Lepisosteus oculatus: one gene and its partner. The protein of the gene in region 1 purifies or fractionates together with the protein of each later gene. This does not show direct contact. Links are inferred from orthologs where the notes say so. Each region holds a gene or a part of one and is shown on either strand. Other genes may lie near its edges. The genes, in order: ubiquitin carboxyl-terminal hydrolase 15 and tut1.

Region 1 (12,056 bases):
GGGCACAAGGCAGGATACACCCTGGATGGGACACCACAGGGCACACACACACACCAAAGCCAATTTTCCCAGAAGCCAATTAACCTCCCAGTATGTTTTTGGAATGAGGGAGAAAACCAGGACAAAACCAATGCAAACATGGGGAGAACATACAAACTCCACACAGATAGAGCCCCAGGTTCAGAATTTAACCAAGGGCCCCTGTGCTACAAAACCCACAATGCTGCCCACTGTGCCACAGTGCCACCCACATATGGGGCTGAAACAAAGTTGTAAATAAAACTACCCAAAAAGCCTGAGAATCACCAAACGTATGTTTGAATAGCTTCCTTCTCGTGCGTCTCTTGATGGTGCTTTATGCATTATAATGTTATGAATGCCTGCAGTTTTCATGGGGAAAGTAACCTTTTAAATGTCTGCGATTTAACTTTGAAACCTCCTTAACAGTACAAATCATATTTTCCAAGGAAATGTAAGTTACAGTTTTCAGCATTATGAATTTTAATTGGCTTAAAACCACTAGCGTGGAGTACAACTGACACTTGATGTTACTACTAAAAGTATGTTCCAACTGCAGTGTAGTGCACCCTCTATTGGTATCAGAATATGTGACAAGGCTAAAGGTACTATTGTTAAATATAGTGCTTAATTTGGCCTGCCAAACACTTTTCAATTAGATATTTGACAAAAGTTATGCTATATACTGTAGTATACTGAAGATGAAGGCTAACATGTAACATATCACAATTATCCCCTTCTTACCAAATAAGCAAGATTTAGAACACGAAATTCAGTCCTACTTAATTTGTAACTTTGCTGACTGGTTTGGCCAACTGAAATGAACACAATTTCAGCTGCACATTGGCATACTGAGAAAACGATTATTAGATTAGGTGCACGGCAAGATTTCTAATGAAACAGTTTAAATTCACTTCATTAGATACGCAAATACTACCTCTTTTAATTACACGCACAGTCACAAAGCCTGCTCCACTGTGTGCTTTTTTTCCCCATTAGTTCCGAGAATCTGATACAGCTAGCTGACAGTATTGAACCAAATACATCTGCTGTCCTAAACACAGCATATATCATTTTCTGGATTAACGGAATAAAAACTCAAGCTTGAAATAAGAAACAGAAGACTGATAAATGGAAACTTTTACAAGATCTGTAGGTTATTTGTTCAGAACATTGCTGAAGAGGTGTTCAGACAGGAGGGAAAGTTCTCCAATATTATAACAGACTGCAATGACCACCTTGCTACGTTTCTACTATTTATAATAATAATAATAATAATAATAATAATAATAATAATAATAATTGCTTACACTTATATAGCGCTTTTCTGGACACTCCACTCAAAGCGCTTTTCTGGACACTCCACTCAAAGCGCTTTACAGGTAATGGGGACTCCCCTCCACCACCACCAATGTGCAGCCTCACCTGGATGATGCGACAGCAGCCATAGTGCACCAGAACGCTCACCACACATCAGCTATCAGTGGGGAGGAGAGCAGAGTAATGAAGCCAATTCATAGATGGGGATTATTAGGAGGCCATGATTGGTAAGGGCCAACGGGAAATTTGGCCACTACGCCGGGGTTACTCTTTTCGAGAAACGCCCTGGGATTTTTAATGACCACAGAGAGTCAGGTCCTCGGTTTTACGTCTCATCCGAAGGACGGCGCCTGTTTACAGTATAGTGTCCCCGTCACTATACTGGGGCATTAGGACCCACATGGATTTATTGTAAAAAATAAAACAAAAACGTTAACAGTTCCATAAATTGAAATGTTTCTTTTATGATTCGGATCCAGATAATGTTTATTTTTTCTTTACGAGTGTGGCAAGCATGGTGTGGCCAAAAATGCATTATTAATATAATCTAATAGGTAGGGAATCTCTGTTTATTAGACAGATTAAATACTGTATTTACTCGAGTACGGATCAAAAAGGCTTACACATTCATGACTGTATCGAAGAACTTGATCTCAGGCTTTCATTTTTTTTTTACTTTGAAGGGCTTCACTTGAACGCCTGGTTATTTCTATACCCTGCTGATTCAATGGAAACATCCGAATGAGTATTTTTTTGGTATTTACTCAGGATTTACTCAAGACCTACCTTTGAGGTACTTTGTACATGATCGTATTATGCAGCATCTCCCCTGAAAGAAGCCACATCAGACCCAGACTTTCTCAGAAAGACAAACGTGAGAGAGATCAGCAGATAAAGACTAACAGGATTTGAGCGGTTTGCAATGATGGAAAGGACAGTGGACAGTGGAAATGTTAAATGGCTGTGCATGTCTCTGAGAGAGAAGATAATAGGAAGTGTGCTACATTCTACAAACCTTACATATGCTATGAGGTGCCCCAATATAGATCAAATGCATAATTAATAGCAGCGAGTATAAAATGTTAGTCTGGTGTTTAAAAACAACAACAACAACAACAACAGCTCCGGGGTAGGTATACTGTACCTTGCGTGCTATTGGCTCTTGACTCACAGTCAGTCCATACCAGCTCACTAACTTATTCCAGCCCTCAGTGGGCACCAGGATGTAGTCCAGCTCATCGATGAGGTGTTCCTTAAGGGCCTGGGAGTCGCCATCTGTACGGCAGAGGGACAAAGATCAGATCTCCATCTTGGCCTAGTCTTCAATTCAGTTCACTGGGTTCATAATCCAAGACAAAGAATTGGGCGGAATTGAGTGGGCACTTGGCACTCATGGGACACATTGAAAAGCACATTATAAGAACGTACCATTACAATGGTAATCTGGGTTCCCCGAAATTGTCACTAGTACCAAAATGGGGTTTCGCCCCCAAATGCACCAGAGGCCCTTACACCACAATCCAGGGAAACAGGTATACAGTACATTGCCCACTCAAGGGCTGCACAGGTTCAGATGCTGGCGCACCTCTGATTGTCCACCTCTTTCCCAGTTCCCTCTGTTCTGGATGCACAGAGAGGGAGGGTTTAAACATTCTCTCGGGCATTGCTTTTGTGCATTCACCTAGCCTGGAAGGTGTTAATGCCTTTATACAAGTTACTGAGCACCAGTTAGTGTCCTCTGCTCAGTCCACCTTGTTAAATCCTTTCCCCCCTGTATAAAACGTCACTCACACTTAACAGGTAATGGGGGACTCCCCTCCACCAACACCAGTATGTAGCCCCACCTGGATGATGCAACAGCAGCCAAACTGCATCAGGATGCGCCCCACACATCAGCTCTCAAGGGGAGGAGAACAGAGTGATGAAGCCAGATCAGAGGTGGGGATTATTAGGAGACCAGGATTGTTAAAAGCCAGTGGGAAATTTAGCCAGGACACCGGGACAACACCCCTACTCTTTCGAGACAAAACAGTCAGAACCTCAGTTTGATGTCTCATCTGAAGGACAACACCTTTTTTACTGTACAGTATCCCCATCACTACACTGGGGCATTAGGACCCACACAGACCACAGGGTGAGCGCCCCCTACTGGTGCCACTAACTCCTCTTCCAGCAGCAAATTTAGTATACATTACCATGTTGTATTGGTCAGTGATTACTCCAATAATGCATGAAGTGCGTCTCCACCTGCCTGCAAAGTAACTAACTCGTTAACTAACTCATAAAGGTAATTTTGCGCACCAAAATTCATTTAGGGTGGTCGTAGCAAGAAGCTCGAATACTTACGAAGTCATACCCTTTCCATTTTTCATCCAAGTTAAAGATTTACTTCTTTGTTCGTGAATGTGCGGACTAGATTGGATATACAGTATAAGAAATATTCTCAAGAGTCGTGACCGCAAGATTTTAAAGCAACAAAACGTGAACACTGTCAGAATACTCCTGCAAGGCACTGTGTAAACACACTAGGCCACACGGCTAATTGGGAAGCACATCTCTGAGGTAGCCGGGAAAAGAACCGAAAGCATGATGTACCTTTGAGGAGGCCAGAGTTGTCAACGGGGCCAGGATATACATTCTGTTCTCCCATCTGGTATTTGTCCCAGCTGTCGAAACCAACATATTTCTTCCACTGCTTGAACCAGCGGCTATCTACTAAATACCTGTTAAAAAAAAACACAACATACTTATAAGTATTACACATTATTTTTTCCGATTATTACTTTGCTTGTTGAATATATTCGTTCAGCAACAGGATACTTAACCCTCCTCCTTCATGGTACCGTATGGACATCCTCCTTATTGTGCCGAAAAATCTAAAGATAGATACCAGTAAGAGCAAACTATGTTCTCTCTTATGGCTAGTAGTCCTCTCATTGTGCCACACTTTGATGAACACTGCACTTTATGTGCGTCCAAGTTAAACATAATCTGAGTTGAGATTTGGATTTCACATCCAAACAAACGATGTCTAGCTTTTCAAAGCGGTAAAAAAGTTAATTGCTGTCTCCCTCAGACTAGTTCAGCTCAGAGAACCAGTTTATTTCATTGAGCCCAGAAATGGCTCATGTCACGCTCTTCTTAAAGAAACATATCATTGCCACTGTGAAGAAATGATTCTACCGGTTTTAAGCAGATTGCCTGCATCAAACAGCTTGACTGTGCAAATTCCCCAGTCTATTGATTTTCAAAAGTCGCAGCAAATTTGGAGAATGTTAGGCAAAGCTCTGCAGCTTAGCTCTTAACACTGATTGGTTAAACTACCCTTGTCATAATGCTTACAGCACAATTTCAATTGGCATACCAGTAACTGGTATGACCACTGAAGAAGGAATTTTAACTGATTTTACTTGCTCTTATTGCATCAAACATGTATTTTATGCAACTCCATGACCTTTGCTTTAGGTGTTATGTGCAATACTCTATGAACAAGAATTGCTTCTGAAAATAATTCATAAAGCTATTATTGTATGTTTGGAGTACATCAGCCTAAAGGTATACGAAAACAGAGGAATTTTCAGCAGCCAGAGTTTTTGTCTCTGAGATACAGGAATCACATTTTCACAGGGAGTCAAGAAAAATATGTAAGGCTTGAAATAAGCAATCAAAAGTATCCAAAATGCAAAAAGTCTGTAGTCTGTATAGCTTCCAGCACATGTTGTTTCCCTGTGGCTGTACAGTATGTGGTTCAGATGTTTACATGAAAAGTGTCCTTTTCTCAAATGCACAAGCATGAAAGTAAGGAAATTAACTCCAGTTAAAGTTTTGTAAAAAAGTTTTTTTTTCCCTTTTTTACAAAAACCACGGCCACGAAGAACCACAGAAGCAGCTGGATTAGATCATAGGCTTGTAGAATGAGGCTTCCCTGTGCTTACTGAACTACAGTACACTGGAGATACAGCCCTGACTGCGCTAACTGCTGATCAGGAAATAAAGCTCCAATGCCTTCTATGACAGATGATGAGATCATCAGAATCAATACTACTTGAGTTACTAATTAGCTGTACTTAATCTCTTTCAGTTAGCTGCTCTTTCAAGGCAGTTGTACAGATCTGAAAACTCCTCATCTTTTCTTAAAGTATAAATGACCATGATGGTAGCTGTAAAAGGTGTGGATTTAACAGCAGCCGGTACAAACATTAGTCAGTGAATGATCATTTACCCAGGAACAGTTTGCGCCCAGGAATGATGTGTTGGGTTTGCACTAGACATAATGGTCAGCTGCTGGATCACAAAACCTTTTGCCCCATGTTTGCAGGAACATGCTCTGCTGAGATGGTTCTGCCACTCTATCAAACTGGCCAGATCTGTGGAGGGACTAGGATATGGAAACCCATGGACGTTTTGTCTCATCTCAGCCCCTGAACTCTGTAGCTCTTCCAAGGCTGTCGGTGGCTCACCCTGCCACCCAGTGATCCTGCATTATACAATACAGGATCACTGGGTAACCAATACCTAACCTGACAAGCAACAAGTGTGGGGCAGGGTACACCTTGGATGGGACACACACACACACACACACACACACACACACACACCAGGGCCAGTTTTCTCAGAAGGCGCAGTCTTTGGGCTGCGGGAGAGAACTGGAGCACTCAGAGGAAAAACCCACATGAGCATGTGGAGAACATACAAACTCCACACAGATAGAACCTTTGGAATTGAACCCAGGGCTCCATACAGCCATGCCAGCTACTGGCTCACCATGCTGACCCTCCATTCAACCAACTGTAGAGAAATTAATGTGTGCACTTGACCCAAATGAGGTTTGCCACGGCAGAGTGTGAATACTTATTCAATCAATACATTTTTTTTTGTTTTTGATTTTTCTTTGCACCTTTTACTGACATTTATTTTTTTTATTTTTTTTAGCTCACATATTTGAGCAGTCTAGATCAGACATACTGAAATACTGTCTTTAAAACAACATGCATCCATAATTTGTAATTCAAATAAATAGGAAGGGGGAAAGGAGGGGGTGAATAATTTTGCAAGGGAGGCTTTCCCACCACTGACAGCAAAATGTGCCCTAATAATAAGACTGCAGAAGAGCTCAAATGTAATGAACTGAACTTCCAGTTCTATTAAGATTATGTTCAAAGGGTCACAAATAAACACAGTATTTGAAACACCCAGGAAGTTCTAAAATAGTATGGATTATACACAGCGTTCAAAAATATCAGTTAAAAGTATTTAATACAAACGAAAATGACTTTTTTGGATGTATTTGCTCAATTCAAAACACACTAAGGCTGCCCCTTTCGGTATTCCAACTCGATATTTTCAATTCGGAATCTGCACTTTCATACTGACCATGTGCGACCTGTCAGTCAAAATACAAAACTCGGCACAGATCCACAACTGTGCAGAACCGATGACAATTACAAAAATCTCCACCTGCGATGCGTACTTGACGAGCGCTTTTAATTTGATAGCTTCTGAGAAGGAATTAGGGAAAGACACATACGCACAAATGTAGAAACTCGCTACAGTAGCTCGTATTTATCTCCTAGAACACAATGAATGACCAGCAAGCCGCAGCTTTCGTGGGAACCGATGGACAATCGAGCACCCTGTTCTGAAGCTTTCCTGAAACGGGGCACACGTTTTTCATCATGCAGGTCGTCGGACCAAGTGTGCGTTTTATGCTTATTGGTGACACTTGTAGATCCGATTGCGAAGTATTTCTGACAGGTGGCTGCCCTCGGCTCTCCGCCTCGCTCCTGCAGAAGGCGAGCAAGCTGATTCACTTCAAGAACCTATTTTAATCTCACCGGCCTCTCTCTGACAGCTACGGAGCCCCCAAACAGCAATCACGTAAGGGAAACTAAGATGTCACTCGGTGGCATTCCAAATGTGAACGACAAGGACTTTTTCACACCGGAGAAGTCCTAAAAGTGCCGGTCGCACTGTTCCCACAGCTAATCAGCTCCAGTGAGCCTCTTAAATGTCTGAGAACAGGGGCCATGCTTGCGGGTTTCCCACGGCCCCGTTGAGATGACAGCCCGTGCCACTGCTGTCTATCGCAAGCCACAGGGCTCCCATACAGCAACAGCCCCCTCTTACCAAGTGTCTCCCTTCCGCAGCTGTGTTTTCAGCAGCGCCGCGATCTCAGCTCGCTGGGTTTCTAGATCAGCCGCTCCGCCCTCGGCCATCTTTCCCTAGCAGAGCCCCGCTGCATCATGGGAAGGTCGACGTCACTGGCGTACGTAAGGCGGAAGGGGCTTGGAGGTTCGTGATCAATCTGCGACGGGGCTCTTGCAGGCAGTGACCCAGGGTGTGGAAAGTTGAAGTTGTGCCTACTTGATTTGTAAATCTTGATCACAGAGGAATCCTGTTAGCCGAATGTCCGTCACAACTTAATCTAAAAGTCTCCGAGAACATTTTGATGCAGTAAAAAATTGAACACCCCGCAGGGCGTTGAAATAGTTTAAAATTATATGGAATATCGCAAAACAGCTCTGAAGCCCCTCCTAAAAACATTAGTGAAGAGTGGCTGAACCGCTCAGCGAAGCCCAAACGAAGATTCACCTCCACCTAGTGCTAGAAAAGGGCATAACATAGGTCTAGTCAAGCCATTACAATCCACAAGAAAACTGATATTGGGTTGTGGCAAAATATTCAGACCCTCATACTGGTGAATTTCATGCCTTCTTAAATAAGCACCAGGTGTTTGACAACATTCCTTATTAATATACTACTTTGCAGCCCCAAAATGTCTCTTTGGTGAATTGAAAGGGGGCTAAACTTCACATTTAGAAAGTATACAGCTACTAAACCTTTAGCTGTTGTAATTCTTTTGATTTATGAATGCAAAAGCAACACAATTCAATTGTTAAGCGAATGCTTTGTATGCCAACTACAATTATTCGCGAATGTTTCTACAGTCCCACTGAGGGGTATGAGTTTCTGAGTTGATGGGCAATGACTATTTCAACCCAGCAGTAGGAATCACTAAGTGACACCATAAGTCTACCATAATGTAGTCATATGGTAATTGTAAGTAGTATATACAATATTAAATACCAGATAATATTAAGGTATTTTTCAGGGTGCAGTGGTCAGTGTTGCTGCCTGAATTCTATTCCGCACCTGGGGTCCCATCTGTGTGGAGTTTGTATGGTCACCCCGTGTTCGCATGAGTTTCCTCTAGGTGCTCAAGTTTCCTCAAGTTGTATTGGGTATTTAATCGGCTTCTGGGAAAACTGGTCCCGGTGTGAATGTGCATGTGAGACTGGTTGTGGTTGTGTCTGTTTGTGCCCTGCAGTGGATGGACATCCCATCCAGGATGTACTGTATCCTGCCTTTTGCCCGATGCTTGCTCTGATAGGCTCCGGTTTCCCCATGACCCTGAATTGGGAGATGCAGTTAGAAAATGGATTGATGGATTAAAGTATTTTCTTTTAGAATATTGCTCATCACAATTTTGTTATCCATCCCTGCTTTCTTCTGTTTTCTAAACTCCTTTATCCAGTACAAGGCCACAGGGGAAAGCAGAGTAAAACCCATAAACAGTTTTTGATGTTGATTATTTCTGCTCCATTTTTATTTGCTAAACTACAGTAGATTATTTTCAAAGCATCATGGATCAAGCTAAGAATGTATTTCACTTTGAGGTTACTTCACCAGCTCCACGTATAACAGCAGTTTATGTCCCACAGACATGTTACCTGTCAATGTATACTGATGGAAAAAAGAAACGCAACATTTTCTGGAATGAGAATACTGTAACGCATACGGCCACCATTGCAGGTTGTGCGAGCCGGCTTACTGGCGCGGTGACGTCACCGCCCTTCCCTGTGAATAGCAGGGACCACAGCCGTCGGGGTAACAGGAGATTTCCCTTTAGCTCAACTGGCTGGGTCCCTGTTGAGTGATGCTGGAGGCCCGGGTTTGAGTCCCCAACGGTGGGGGGCCGACCTGAGTTGGCAGCGGCGAGGGCGCATACCCCCGTGAACCCGAGAGTGCTACAATACTATAGTTATAGCTTATATCCTTTCACAAAAAGTTGCCAATTTGTTTTAAGCCCTCTGACCAGCAATACAGCTTGTGCAGTGAGGCATTGCAACTTGCCAATCACACGAAAGTTCGTTAGGTGCACTTTTACCCAACAAGGTCCAGGTGGAACAATGCCCGATCAGATCACCTTTAAAAGGGCATTAATTCAAAGCTTAGGTCACTGCAAGAAAAGGGCCACACTCAGTCAGTTTTCTGTGAATTCCATAATGCCTCGAATGTCACCAGAAGCAAGGGAGAGGGACATTGGCATGCTGCAGGCTGGCATGTCATGTGGCATCGTTGCCAGACACTATGGAGTAAGCCGCTCCACTGTGTCCCGACTGCAGAGAAGGTCTCAGCAGACCAGCAGGACAGATGACCATCCCAAGATCCGGTCGCCCTCGAGTGACCACACCAGAGCAGGACCGACACTTCAGACTGGTCCATCTGAGAGATCGTTTCAGATCTGCCACCCATACTGCTGCTGAAACTACTGGCAGACACAATGCCCGCATCAGTGACAGGACAGTGAGGCTCCATGCTCCTGGTCTTGGAGCAAGGCGACCTGTCAGAGGCCCTCTGCTCACACCTCCTAGACGTCACACCCGACTGGCCTGGGCCAGACAGAGGCTGCAATGGACTCGTCAGCAGTGGCATCAGGTCCTCTTCACGGATGAGTCACTCTTCAGCCTGTTCCATGCAGACGGGAGGACCAGAGTGTGGAGGAGGAGGTGTTGCTTTTCTTTTTGCCATCAGTATATATCTAATTTGTTTTGCAAGCTTACATAAAAGTCTGTTACTTTTAACCTTTTTAGGTTTTGCTATTAATTTAAGGAAATGTGTCGCAGAACCTACTCAGAAGCAAACAGCTACGAAAAGCTACCTGGAATTGTGTTTTTACGACGACTTATGTCACTTATTCTTATTCTAATTATTTTGAGTTGCAAATGTGTACTACTGTTGAAAACAGAGCAGGGTGTGGGAGGAGACGAAGCCAAACAAAATTCCACACACAATGAGTTGTTTTTAGAAATACATTTGTACATCTGCATAGTTTTCATTACACACTGTACAAATTCACAACACTGAATTTGTCATAATTATTCTGTTACAAAAATTAGTACAGAGTGCTATGCCAAAGAGAAATAAAATTAATCAACAGAGTTAATGACAATGGTGATTTTCACATTGAAAAGTTAAATAGGTAACTAAGTACACGAACTGGAAGAAGAATGTATAAGAAATTATTTTCCTAAAATCTGCATTTACACTTTTCTAAAATACAAGACCCATTTGTGCACAATTTTGTAAAGATAAGTTTGTAAAATTATAGAAAACCAAATCACTTGGAACTTTCCACAGGATATATCCACAGTGCCAAGATACAGTAGAGTGTGGGAGTCTGCAACTGTCCTAGTTAAATCATTATTTTATTTTAGTTTTTATATATAATATTCAAATATGTTTTATCTCTATCATACTGTAGATGTTGCTGTAAGCTTTTTGAATACTCTCCTCTTCAGGTGCAGATTACTATTTTGAATAGTAATAGGATGAAGGGGAGATCAGTTTTTATTTTTAATGTTTCCAAAACAATAAAAATCCATTAAAAAAGCAACTAATGCATTTGTTTTCTTTTCCTTTGCAAATTAATCATAAAAAATACTGACTGCTCTTAACACTCCCAAACACACCTTTTCTGGGATTTTGGCTTTGTTATTGTTTGACTACATTGTACAATATTAACTATCAGTAAGCAATGCCAATTAAGATAATACATTATTGTAAACAATCATGTCTTTTTTTCAGTTGATTTTTCTGTGTGCGTTTAACTATGTACATTGATCCTCTGCACAATACTCAGAAACAGACACAAGAGATCATCGAACTAATTTCCAGTTTAATATATACCGTAGTATTAGTTTGAAATATCTATTAGAACTTTTTGAACTTTCTATCACTATATATTAATAAGGTAAATACGTAGTAATGAAACGAGTTTGGATAAAGGAAGCTAGTGAAGTCAACTTCCTGCTGAGGATATGACTTTGGGGCAGCACCATAGCACAGTGATTAGCATTGCTGCCTTGCAGTGCTGTGGCTCTGGGTTAAATTCCTGGAATGCTATCTGTGTGGAGTTCTTATGTTCTTCTCTTGTTTTGTGTGGTGTTCCTCCGGGTGCTCCGGCTTACCCCCACAGTTGAAAGACATGCTGGTAGGTTAAATGGCTTCTGGGAAAACTGGAAAAAATTGTGCTTGTGTGTGTCTGTGTCTGCCCTGCATTGGACTGGAAAGGTAAAGAAAAGAAATACAACATTTCCCACTGTAGAGCCTTCTTCAGGTCTTTAACATCATTTGGGTAGTGTAGTATTTCCTATACTACTCTTCCTTAACTTCTGTAACATTTGCAACAGCTGTTGCTGGTAAGACCTAAAGTAACCTTATAACCTAAAAACAATAAGAACACATAACACAAAAACTATACCTTCTGTATATTTTTCAAACATTACTGGTCGAATGACAGTACTGCCTAGCTATGAAATGAAGCTGAATAAAGGACAAGAAAAGATTTCAGCAAACCAGACAGCTCCCAAAACTATTGAAAACCGGTGTGTGAACTCGTCAGTGTGGTTAACAAAAAACACATAAGCTGAAGTAAC
Region 2 (12,056 bases), on another chromosome or scaffold:
GTGACCTCTACATAAACATATATTTTGCTGTGTTTTTGCATACAGGAGTGTCGTAAATGATTTTAATAGATGATGCTTAAAAACTGCCGGGAGTGGGCATCTTGCAGGTGTAGGTGGTCTTTAGATCTTGGGTTTGAGTCTGGACTTCGGATCCTTGCGTGTGGAGTTTACATGTTCTGTTTTCCCAGAATGGATGAATATGGCTAACCCCCTCAATTCATCTTCTGCGAGCTGGCTCTGAGCTCCTAACGCATGCACGACCCCCCCGGTCACGTCTGGCAATCCAGAGATCTAAAAATTACCGCAACAACTGAGACAAACAGATACTGACACTTGAAAATAAAAAAAAATCCACATATCATGCGGATAACATGCTCGTTCTGCAGGAACGAGACAAGGAAGGCAGAAATATTATTTGCATCCACCGGTTTCTGGTCGTTTCTCTAACACCCAGCAACTGGAAAAAGTGTTAACACTTCGATGAAGACACTGCACAGAGAACTCGGATTTATGTACCCATGACAAACATCATCTCAACATCTTTAACCACAGCCCGGTCTCACAGCAACTTGCTCACTTATCTGGTGGACTTATTTGGTCCACCTTTCTCACTAGTTCTTAAAAAAAAAACATATTTACAGTCAATTCATTTCCTTGCTTAGACTTTCGAGGGTCTCGGTCGAATATTTCTTCAACTTTTTGCCATCGCCGCCGATACAAATACGAGTCACTCGGCATTCGAAGAAATGACCACCGCACTGCCCACCGCGTCGTATTTAGCGCACTACCACAATTCTTTTAAAAAATTGCACTAATTCTGGAGAAGGAAATGACCGCTGTTTTTGTAACAAATCGTTATCTTTATCCGTGTATATCGCTGTCGGCAGCACCTGGGAAAACGCGTCCCCCCCCCCCCCGAATGCTTGTTAATACTCACAAACCGTGGTCTCGCTGCGGCCGTGAAAGCTTAAATGATACATTTCTTGAATAAATGCATTTTTTTGTAGCACCGACCCGCTTAGTTACGAGTACTCGCAATTGAAAAGAACGGTCCGAAAAAAATGAGTGTCAGTAAACAAACTATCTTTACCTGATGATCAAGGAGATATCCCGTTTGCCTTTCTGTAGGAGATGTCCGGATCTTCGACGGCGGATGCGCTAGCTGGTGTGTATTTTTTGGGGGGGTAAAAAAAAAAAGAAATGTATGTGTATTTTTTTTCCCGTCACAGCTCTCTTTCCTCCATATTGGCAGCTCCTCCACCAACAACAACATTCGTGACGTCACTCCCCCGTCACGTGACCCCCCCCCCCCCCGGCCGCGTGCTAAAAATAGACTCTGCAACCACTGAATAACCTACAGTGGGAAGATAACCCACACCTGAGTATGGTGGCAGACCTCGCGTCGACTGGCGCTCCTGACGTGTGGTCTGTCTCCCCAGTCAACGTCTGACACAGCGAAATGTTGCGCTGTTGACACGGCGTTTCGGCACAGGCGCGGATGCAGACCTCTGCGGCTTTTGAAGTTCGGAGAGAACGTTACCACCGATTCATGCTCGTCTAGTAAAATATATATTTCCACGATTGTAGCGCTGCATTGAAGGCAGTTGTCTGTCGTTTACCAGATGCACGTTCTCTTTTTTTTGTGGAAATGGAAATGGGTTTTGGGTGGAAATGAGTGAGCATATTTTATGCGTCACAAGGCGCGCTAAATATATGTTCTCGCAGTGTTTCTGATTTACAACGGGCACGATCCACTATCTCTTTTTCAGCGTTTCCCGCTGACATTAGCCTCATCCGCACTTGTTAGAACAGTAGAAACATGATGAGCCCGGTTGCAGTAGTTTGAGTTTTTTTCCGAGCTTTAGACCTTGTGCTTAGAAGTTGTGCGAGTTCACGCCAGTACCCGAGGATCTGTGTGGGGATATGCTGTGATTCGAGGTCAGGGATGGACTACTTTCAGAGTCATGCAATTAAATCTACTCCAATGCTCCCGGCCACGAGTCACAGGCCGGTCCAGGTCAAAGGGTTCCCACCTTGCTAAACTTTGGAGCGTTTCTGTCGGCTGCATGGTTGGACATAAGCCCACGACAGCATTTGTTAGTCATGTCAATCGGAGCGAAGTGGCTGAGATGCTCGCCTGTAGTTATAAAGTCTGCCGAGCTCCTGTCCGTGCAGACGGTCCCCCCGTTGTGTCTCACGTCTCACTGAGAGTCTCGAGCCGCGGCCCGGAGACCCCTCGAGACACGGAGCTCTCTTATTATGAAAAGTACCGAGGAGCGGGCGACGAATCCCGAGCCGGAAAACGACGCGCCGCCGACACAAGTTTGGGGGGGGAGAGGGAAAGGAGGGAGTTGTGAACATAAGTTCGGGAATGGAGACATAATGATAAAGGACAGAGGCCGAGAGAAAGCATTGGTGCCATCACTATGCGTTCTCCAGCTTGATGCTTGTTGCCATGGTTACCCGGGGCCGGGAGCATGACTGGCATTCTAAGTACCGTTGTGCAACACCGCGAGCCCTTGCCTGCGCGGACAGAGACACGCAACACGTGTTCCCATCATGCGGCTGTTAAAAGGGCCTTGACAAGCTCTCCATCAGCTTCCTCATTCAACACAGCTCAATACTCCTGCGGGGATGCGGTGACGTCATCCCTGCTCTTCAAAAGAATGAGTCACGGCAGCTTTGTGACGTCAAAGCCTCCTTTTAGGAGAAAATCGAAAAGAACATTAAGGTAGATACATAACTGAAAAAAAAGACAATTACATGAATATTTTTTTTCCTCTGGCAGTATCAAAGGACGTGGATATGGGATACGAATTATGTGCTAAGACAAATCAAATTATTAATCTTTCTAAAACCGTTTATTTAAATAATAAGTCTGATCACCGGAGTAGATTCAGTCTTCTTACACAATTCTGCAACCCAAAGTTTCGCGGTGAAAACTATCTCAAAAGCGCCTTCACGCTGATCACTTCAACATCTTCCGTGAGCGTAGCTACAATTCAACCCTCTAACTCGATATAGTGGCAGAAAACAGGGCGTTAGGTCAGTGCGGGGGGAAAGTTTTTCCATTATTAAAATGCATTTCACCCTGTTGTGCACGCAAAAGCGTCTCGACACTCTCTGCTCCATTCGACGAAAAAGCGTCCTGCACGATGCCCGTAAATTGTTTCTCTCGCACATACTAATGGTTTTCACCCATTAGCGTGGTTTTCCTATGCCAGTCTCTGTGGCAGGCTGGCCGAGATGAATGACCCCGCCTCAGTCCCCTCACCCACAGCGCTCCCGGACAGCAGCCGGCGAGTCAGGGATGAGGACCCGTCTCCATGGCGATGCGGCGCTTTTCATGCCGGCGGTAGCGCTCTCGTGCTTTGGAAGCAGATGAAGATATCTGTCGTTCCTTCGACTCGTTGCGGACGTCTGCTCTATGTATTGAAACAAAGAAGAGTAGCAGCCCAAGACGATAAATGACCTAGACTTCTGCAAGTGTTGCCGTCTTAATTATGTCCAAAGAGAGATGGAAAATGAACTATATATTTTGCTAATAAACTCTTTTGTTTTTGTTGATCTTAATCCTATAACTTAATTGTGTCTGGTGTGAACTCAGCCTGTGCTCCACTTTAACAAAAATCACGAAGTTATTAACCCCGAGTGTCCTTGAGAGTAGTCAAATCACCAAACCCACTTTACAGCGTTAGGAACGGTCTGAAACCAGAGGAGCCCATTCATAAATCTAACACGTCTGGTAGTTCGTAGCTCATCGATCCTCTAACCTCGGTAAAAGGACGAGAAGCTTTTTTCAGTTTCCCACATCTTGAGAACACTGTAAAATAGCTCTCTCTTTTGTAACTTAGTGACAATTTTAGCAATGATATCTCTTAATTTTAATTTAACATATATAATGAGATTCTCCTTGATTTGTATTGCTTTCCAACTTTGTCTGGAAGATGAAAATGGCGTGTCAACATTTACACATTCCTTTTTTTCCACAAAGCAGCTTTTTCAAACTTAATGTCCCTACTTGGTACAGTATTTAATGTTTTTTTGCTGCCTGTTCGTAATACTCTGCACCTTGTCTAACTTAGCCCCCCCAAAATGTTTTTGTTTGATCGATTTTAGAAGTAAAGGATTATCAGAAAGCAATGATATGAAAATGTTATATGTCAAAAATGAAAATGGTATATTTCATGATTATCTAATGTCTGGCTTTGGCACGAAGCCTACTGCTCGGGGTCGAGGCTAAATTGTCTGCATCGGCGGACACTTCCGACTCAAACAGAGGGAGGAGGCGCTATATTCGTAAGTGAGGGATGACTCACATACAAGTGAGTCAGATTTCTACAGCCAAATCTAAATGTCAACCCCCCATCTCCCCCCTTCGCAGCATTTAATGAGAAAAAATAGATCCCACACAAAGAAGAAAAAGTCACAACTACTTATATGACAGGAAATTGTCTTTGGAATCGAAGAGCTTTCTTTTCCATTTTGTATCAGATCCACGACGCCTCCCGGTGTATCTTTGAAAACAAAGAGTGTGGTTTGCGTTACACGGAGATGCTGGTGCCTGGATATCACACAAAAAAAGTCCGCCACCCCTCTGTACAACAATAATGTTTATAAAATGTTAATGGTACAAGACAAGGAGAAAAACACAAGAGCAAACATTTCTTTATCATTAGCGATCTCCTGAAATTGCTGTTTAAAATGTAGAGTTTTTTTTTCTTTTAAAAAGCTTTAACTGATCAGATAGGACGCAGTGATATGTATATAAAACTGTTTTGTGTGGTATTTATATGTTAGTGCTTTTTGTTCGTTATACACCGTGCATGTGAGACGGAAAACATGCAGATGTAAAACATCAGTGAGATTTCCTGAGAATTGCTGGGTTTTATAAAGCTTTGTCTCCCTCGTACGGTGGGACTCTGCAAATTCCGCGTGTGGACTTCTTGTTCCTCCGGAACTAAAAGTTCCTATCTTTGTTGCCATACCGGGGCGAAATGATGGGAGGGATGAGGCAGGGGAGAGTGCGTGGAAGGGAGGGAGATTTAATTTAATCCTTATTTAGTTAAGAGATTAAGCGTATTTCTGTTATATTTTGCTTTTGATCGAGATGGAGTTAGATACAGATATCCAGCCTGTTCCGAAAGGAGGGTTCCATTGCAACTTGTGTGATGTCAGTGTACCAAACAGTAAGTTTTGTCAAGTTTGCGCAGCACCATTACTTACAGAGCAGTTTACAGCAGTGGCATGATTGTTTGAGAAACAGAGTTTATTTCATTTTTGTTAAGGCGAATAGATTCAAAAAATGTTTTATGGCTGCGAAGGAATCTCACAGCCCGTGTATGATAAAAGTAAGCGGCTGTATTGGTCCTGCGTTTTCAGTAACACTGGGCAGTACGTGCTTTCCTCTTTCTTTAGCCTTTTTAATGCACGTCCGTGTGTTTGAAATGCATGCCCGTGTTTGTTTCGGCGCAAGGCTCCTGTTTCGTTTGTATCTGCACACGTTTCTGCTTATCTAGAGTGTAACGTGTGTGGTTATGCAGGGACAAGCCTTCAGGACCACCTGAAGGGCCGTAAACATCGGAACCTGTGCGCCGTCCGGGACACTCGCCGGACCCAGGTGGAGAACAGCGTGTTCGTCAGCGGGTTCCAAAAGGGGACGTCGCAGCAGCAGATCATGGAATATCTCCAACGCTTCGGACCCGTGTCCGAAGTCATCATGGATAAGGACAAGGTGCGTTTTTGTAAATATAATATCCTGACTCTCTGCGGTCATGACAAAATCCCAGGGTGTTTCTGGAAAAGAGTAGGGGTGTTACCCTGGCATCCTAGCCAGTCAAGGCCTCCTAATAATCCCCATCTCTGAACTGGCCTCATCGCTCTGTTCTCCTCCCCACTGAGGGCTGTACTGGGGAGTGTACTGGTGCTCTATGGCTGCCGTCACATCATCCAGGTGGGGGCTGCACATTGGTGGTGGTGGAGGGGAGTGCTTTGAGTGGGGTGTCCAAAAAAAGCGCTATAAAAGTGTGAGGAATTATTATTAACTAACTAGTCATCACTTAACATGTCAGTTTAAATAGAAGTTATTACAATGATGTCATGCAGGCAAAAGAAATATCCTTTACAGGTATCTGCTGAAAGCAGGAGTATCATCTGAACAAAACAAGAGATGTGCAAAAAGCATAAGTCTAGTAACGGGTTAGTTCATGTCCAAGCAAAGGGCATGGAATGCAAGGCCGAGGGAAGAATCTGTTTCTAGGACAACCGAGAGTCGAGTGTGGGACTGACCAGGTATGGACGTGGGTTGTTGTTTCTCTCCAACTGTGTCTCCCAGGGTGTCTATGCCATCGTGGAGTTCAGCGACAAGCAGGGCCAGCAGGCAGCCCTGTCTCAGCCCCAGCACAGCATGGAGGGCCAGAGGCTGCGCATCAAGCAAAGGGAGAGCAAGGAGTTCAAGTTTGTCCCCAAACGGAAGCAGGACGTCACCAAGAGCCCCTCGATGAACCCCGAACTTCTGTCCCATGCCCTCTGTCAGGCCAATTCTGTGAGTCTCTCTCTCTCTCTCCTTGCATACCAGCCGGGTTCCAGTCCTGCTGGAGCTTTTGTTTATTCGCACTGTCTGAGCTCTTCATGTCTCAGCTGGATTCTGCATCAGGCCACCTTAACATGATTGATCTAAAAGGATCTACAGTATAGTGCTATCTATAGGTACCAGTGTCTGAAACAAGTCTTTTTTGCTGCTCAATTATATGTTGGGTTACACATGTTTGGTGTTCTTTTTTTATCACATGATGTACCTTTTACCAATGCAGTTTTCTGGTTGGAAAAAAATGCTAAACCTCTTGCATTTAGATTAACTGTTTTTTTGCGTTGGATTTCACCAGGCACTTTCTCTTCAATTTCACAAGTGATGCTGATAGACTGTTATTCCAAAGCTTGTTTAACTCAATTATTAGTGCTTCAGTTTTCCAATTTAGGTTTGACTATGTTCTGTATATATTCCAGATATTCTACTCACTGGCTTTTGACCAAGTGACTGTTCTTTTCCACAGAAGGGATATGTCTTTAATGAATAATAACCACAAGTACACAAGTGTTTAAATAATTACAGGCAGTCATAATAAGCACCATAAACTCAGAGGAATTTCTCAAATTAGGGTCTAGTGTAGACTTAGTGAGAACTGATTATCTGTTCAACTGTATTAAACTGTATCAATACAAGAGGTATGTTGTTGGACTCTTAACTTGGGAAATTCAGAATCCTAATCATGCCTATACATGTGATATTATGTGTAGTCATTTACTTTTTATTCAGTACTCATTCATTGTAGCAAGAGGCAGTTAAAATGTTCTGGTGGATAAAGTCAATTCAGACACAGGCTATACTGCTCCCTTTTCAGCCTGGAAGTGTAAAGGTGTGTAGGTGTCTGTACATTGTCACTCTTAAGTCTTTGCATCCAATAAGATGGTGATTCTACCAGCACAGAGCTGTGCGCTGTAGCACTGGCTGAGAGCTAGACCTCCCAGCTGTTGTAATTCTGATTTGCTTTTTTAAAACCTATTCCTAGAATTCTGAAACTAGTTTGATCCCTAGTTGTGAGTCAGTTATTCCTCCATCTCTCATAACACCAGGTGAGTGGGCACCGCCGGTGGGGTGATCAGAGTCTACAAAGGGTGTGAGTAAATAACTCTGGACTGTTTGGGGAGTTGCCAGAGGAAAGGACAAGTTGTTTTTTAAGAGGCGTCTCGTGTCAGAAGTGCGGAAGAGTGATGTAAAGAGAGAATTAGTAACCCGGGCCGTGGATTTGCCAGCGAGGAGGGGTAGTGTGTACCGCATGCTGTGCAGATTATTTTGATGAAAGCCGCCTGCGTCTCCGGGCATCGGTCGGCAGAGACGACTGAGATGGGAGCACGTGGGCTGTGAGCTTGTGGTAAGGTATGACGCAGCTCCTGTTTTTCAGTCACCAGGCAGCGAGGATCTTTGGGTAGAGCGAGGTGTCGCAGTGATGCGACTTCCCTTTGCTCCTCTGAGTATGTTAGTCTCCCAGGCCTCAGACCCTGGGTGCTGTGCTGTGCAGAGTTGGTGTGCTGCAGTACAGAGGAGATGAAGCGTTCAAGCCTGGGGCCCTGCTGCATACTTTATACCAGGAGATCTGTCTCTCTGATGGATTGGCGAAGCAGAACGTTCAGCCTCTGGCCTAGTGTTTGCAAAGAGGCTTCTCCGTCACGTTTGGTTTGCTCTTTCATCATTGCGTCGCCACCTTGTGTAAGGAAACGGAGACGTTCTCCAGCGCCAAGTCCCGTTTGCCAGTCCCGTCCCTGCCCAATCTGTCCAACCGCAAAAGAGATACCATGTAAGGGGAAAGTCATTTTAAGAGTGGAGCTTATTTGAACTGGCTTACCAGCTCCCTCTGGCTCGGTGCAGACTGCGGCAGGAGATCATTTCTCTGCTTGTCTGCTTGTCCTGGCAGGTGGCAGAGCAGATGCAGATGCTGGTGGACTTGTTTGAGCTGTCGGACAGCGAGCGCAGCACGAGAGAGCTTTTGATTGCGCTGTTGCAGGAGGTCTTCAATGAGTTCTTTCCAGGTACTGCCTGCTCTCTGTCCATGGCTGGGTTTTCCTTGTGGTTACTCGGTGTTGCCGTGGTGTGCCACAGCTTATATTGTGTTTTACCATAACACCGGATGCTTTATTGGGAATTAAACTGTTTCATCTCTTCCTGTGACATGTAATCATTAATAATGATCTGATCTGTTTTTTTAATGCCAGCTTTAACTGTGCAATATGATACAAGAAAGTACGTGCAGCAATTCTTGAAAACCTGCATTCTTTGAATGCACCAGTTCATTCAAGCATAGTAGGACTAAAACCTTTTCATTACAGCTATTCTCATTCCTAGCAGACATGTCTGTATTACAGTTTTTAGTTTGTGTTTGGAAATGCACTTTGGCCTACTGTATTCAGAAAAGGTCCAGATTTATAGTAAATTTCAGTTACCCATTTCGAGTCAATTTCAAATATCCTTTTCACGTCTGAAAAATACAAAGTAGGTTGGACAGTCTCTGTCCTGGAGAGCCTCAATCCAGCAGGCTTAAAAGTTCAACCTTAGTTTGTCAGTTTTCAAACTCTAGTAACAATTTTGTTTTGACTGCTTACCTAGGTGGCTTGTTCAAATCAGTTTTTCTAGATCTTGTAAAATGAACATGCCAACACCCCGAAGATCTATTAGAATAATGTCAGCTGACGATTAACTGAACCATTGATCCAAACTCAAGTGTTTCAGGTCTTTAGAAATTGATGATTGAAGGATGATCTTGTGTCCAGACCACACCTATTTATATCTGAAACTCTGTTGCTCTTTAAAAGGTGATTTCTGGAATTCTGACTATAAAACTCTGTCAATGTGATGTTATAGACAATAATCCACTCTGTGCATGCATTTCTCTCTCAGAGTGTAAGATCCTGGCCTTCGGCTCTTCTGTGAACACTTTTGATATTCATTCCTGTGATTTGGACCTCTTTCTGGATCTGGAGAACACCAAGACCTTCCAAGCCAGAGCCAAGAACTCCACAGAGCAGGTATCAACGGTATCCATTCTGCATGCAGAGATCAGTCGTGAGACGGTCGAAAGAAGTTGTGCTTCAAAGCAGCGCAGTGCTTCCTTATGTTGTACAGCTGCTTTGCACAAAAGCATTCCTTTTACAGTAAGAATTACTAGATATTTCAGTAATAGTCATTTAGCAACTGCTTTTTATTCAAGAGCAGTTTATGTGATGAACTATGTAGGGAGAGCTCACTGCAGTAGAGTCACTGATAGGACCCAAGAATTATGAGGGAACCACACTGAACCCTCTACCTCTGGCATTTGCAAAAAAATTCATACTCGAGCACCATTATGAAGAACTGTCCCTGCTTATATATGGCTTTGCCAGCAGCCATATCACCCAGCAACTCACAACTGACAGACCACTGAAGCTAAGCAGGTGTGAGCCTGGTCAGTATCTGAATGGGAGACTCCTGGGAAAAACTAAGGTTGCTGCTGGAAGAGGTGTTAGTGGGGCCAGCAGGGGGCGCTCACCGTGAGGTCTGTGTGGGTCCTAAAGCCCCAGAATAGTGATGGGGACACTACACTGTAAAAAGGTGCCGTCCTTTGGATGAGACATAGAATGGAGGTCCTGACTCTGTGGTCATTAAAAAATCCCAGGGTGTTTCTCGAAAAGAGTAGGGGTGTTATCGCAGTTTCCTGGCAAAATGTCCCCCTGTCCTTTACCAGTCATGGCCTCCCAATAATCCCCGTCTCTGAACTGGCTTCATCACTCTGCCCTCCTCCCCACTGAGAGCTGGTGTGTGGGGAGAGTTTTGGCGCATCATCCAGGTGGGGCTGCACACTGGTGGTGGTGGAGGGCATCTGTACAGTGCTTTGGGTGGAGTGTAAGCAATTATTCATTATTATTATACCTTTGTCCTCTTCGCCAGGCCGGAGAGGGACAGTGGGAAGACGCACGCTCCGAGGACTCCATCCTGTCGGACATGGATCTGGCCACGGCCTCTCCTGCGGAGGTCCTGGATCTGGTGGCTACCGTGCTGCGGAAGTGTGTCCCTGGGGTGCACAAGGTGCAGGCGGTGAGCTCGGCGCGGTGCCCCGTCGTCAAGTTCACCCATCGAGACCTGGGGCTGCAGGGAGACATCTCCATCAACAACAGGTCAGCTGGAGGGCTTGGACTCACCCTGACACGGGCCCAGGATAACGGCATCGTGGGAGACAGCGATATGTCAAACGTTGCAATATTAATACATTGTCTTTGAGTGATCATCGGGATGTGCTGTCTTTGCTCGGAAGTGCCACTGTCCTGAAGTTTAATAGGTGACTTAAATCCCTCATAGCTAAAAGATCTGGAGGAAAGCCTGTTCGTTGGTGACCTAATTGACCAATTAAGTCTGTTATTGATTAAATTAAGTCATTAGGAGATCAGGCTGTACCAGTGCCAGAAGACCTGGCAGCAGTACTTTTTATTTTTTCTTCTGAAGCACTTATCTCAGTTTCATTCTTGACACCATCCAGAATTTCTCATGAAGGGCCAAGAAACCTACATCACCATCATGTCTACCAGGAACAGCATTTTATTCAAAGCCTGCACCTCTTAATCCTTACACGTAAAAGGATCTTTCAGAAACGTGCAGTCCTTGAACAAGTGACTTATCTGTCATCTCTTGTTGTGTTATTGTGAGCAACTTTCCATACAAGTCATGGAATGCATCTGGTCCTCAAACTGCATGAACATACCATCGTTAGAGTGATGCTCTTAACAGTATCTTGGTTGATTCAAATGAATCACTTTCCACTTGTTTCCTATGCATTTCTTCTCTTAATGTGCATGCCTAAAGCCTTCCAGACATGCTCAGCAGTAGCAGCTGTATTTCTGGGTCTTCTGCCTGTGTGCTGGCTTGTTTAATGGGCATGTGTTTAATTGGTCCTAATAGCTCTGGGCATTCTGGCTGCTTCAAGAAGACCCAGTACATCATGAGGTTTTGTAGCTCTGCAGTAAGAGCTAAAAATAGCAGACTGGACAAAACATGGGGCTGTGTGACATCTCCTCCTCTTCACTGTTCTCTCCCTCAGGCTGGCTGTCAGAAACACCCGATTCCTCCAGCTGTGCTGCTCACTGGACAAGAGGCTCAGGCCCCTGGTGTACACCATCAGGTACTGGGCAAAGCAGAAGCAGCTGGCAGGTAAGGCGCTGGCTGGTGCTTTTGTTTTTAGGCATGACAGTGACATCATCATGATGTTTCCCGCAAAAGGAAATAAATAACCTAAAAAAAGCCTGGTGGGATTTTGCAGAGGTAGTGCGAAGAAGAGCAGTAGGTGGAATCATTCTAAGTGATTTAAGTGCTGACAACATAAATAATGCATGGCCCTTTTTTTGTAAACAAGATCATAAATGTTCTTTGCAGTTGCTCGCGAAGTTGCTTTGTAGATCATGCTGTTTCCTTTAAAATAATGGAATTTTTTAACTTTTCAGTTTTCATTGAAAGTTAGATGGAGCCACATGTATAG

What was found.
Region 2: the proteins of ubiquitin carboxyl-terminal hydrolase 15 (region 1) and tut1 purify together in Homo sapiens (affinity purification with mass spectrometry; 4 studies listed by BioGRID and IntAct, with this or other methods). This does not show direct contact. The link is inferred for Lepisosteus oculatus from reciprocal best matches to the Homo sapiens genes USP15 and TUT1.

What each region holds. Positions count from the first base shown.
Region 1 is NC_090702.1:5,056,852-5,068,907, reverse strand, and holds the start of ubiquitin carboxyl-terminal hydrolase 15, read right to left. Parts: upstream 7,592-12,056; 5' UTR 7,554-7,591; coding exon 7,465-7,553; intron 4,062-7,464; coding exon 3,934-4,061; intron 2,614-3,933; coding exon 2,483-2,613; intron 1-2,482. UniProt on the Homo sapiens protein: Hydrolase that removes conjugated ubiquitin from target proteins and regulates various pathways such as the TGF-beta receptor signaling, NF-kappa-B and RNF41/NRDP1-PRKN pathways.
Region 2 is NC_090723.1:7,412,661-7,424,716, forward strand, and holds the start of tut1 (speckle targeted PIP5K1A-regulated poly(A) polymerase), read left to right. Parts: upstream 1-4,998; 5' UTR 4,999-5,110; coding exon 5,111-5,189; intron 5,190-5,543; coding exon 5,544-5,734; intron 5,735-6,334; coding exon 6,335-6,544; intron 6,545-8,471; coding exon 8,472-8,586; intron 8,587-9,451; coding exon 9,452-9,579; intron 9,580-10,477; coding exon 10,478-10,704; intron 10,705-11,621; coding exon 11,622-11,731; intron 11,732-12,056. Other genes in the region: hdac5 (histone deacetylase 5), read right to left, coding at 1,091-1,273. UniProt on the Homo sapiens protein: Poly(A) polymerase that creates the 3'-poly(A) tail of specific pre-mRNAs. Localizes to nuclear speckles together with PIP5K1A and mediates polyadenylation of a select set of mRNAs, such as HMOX1.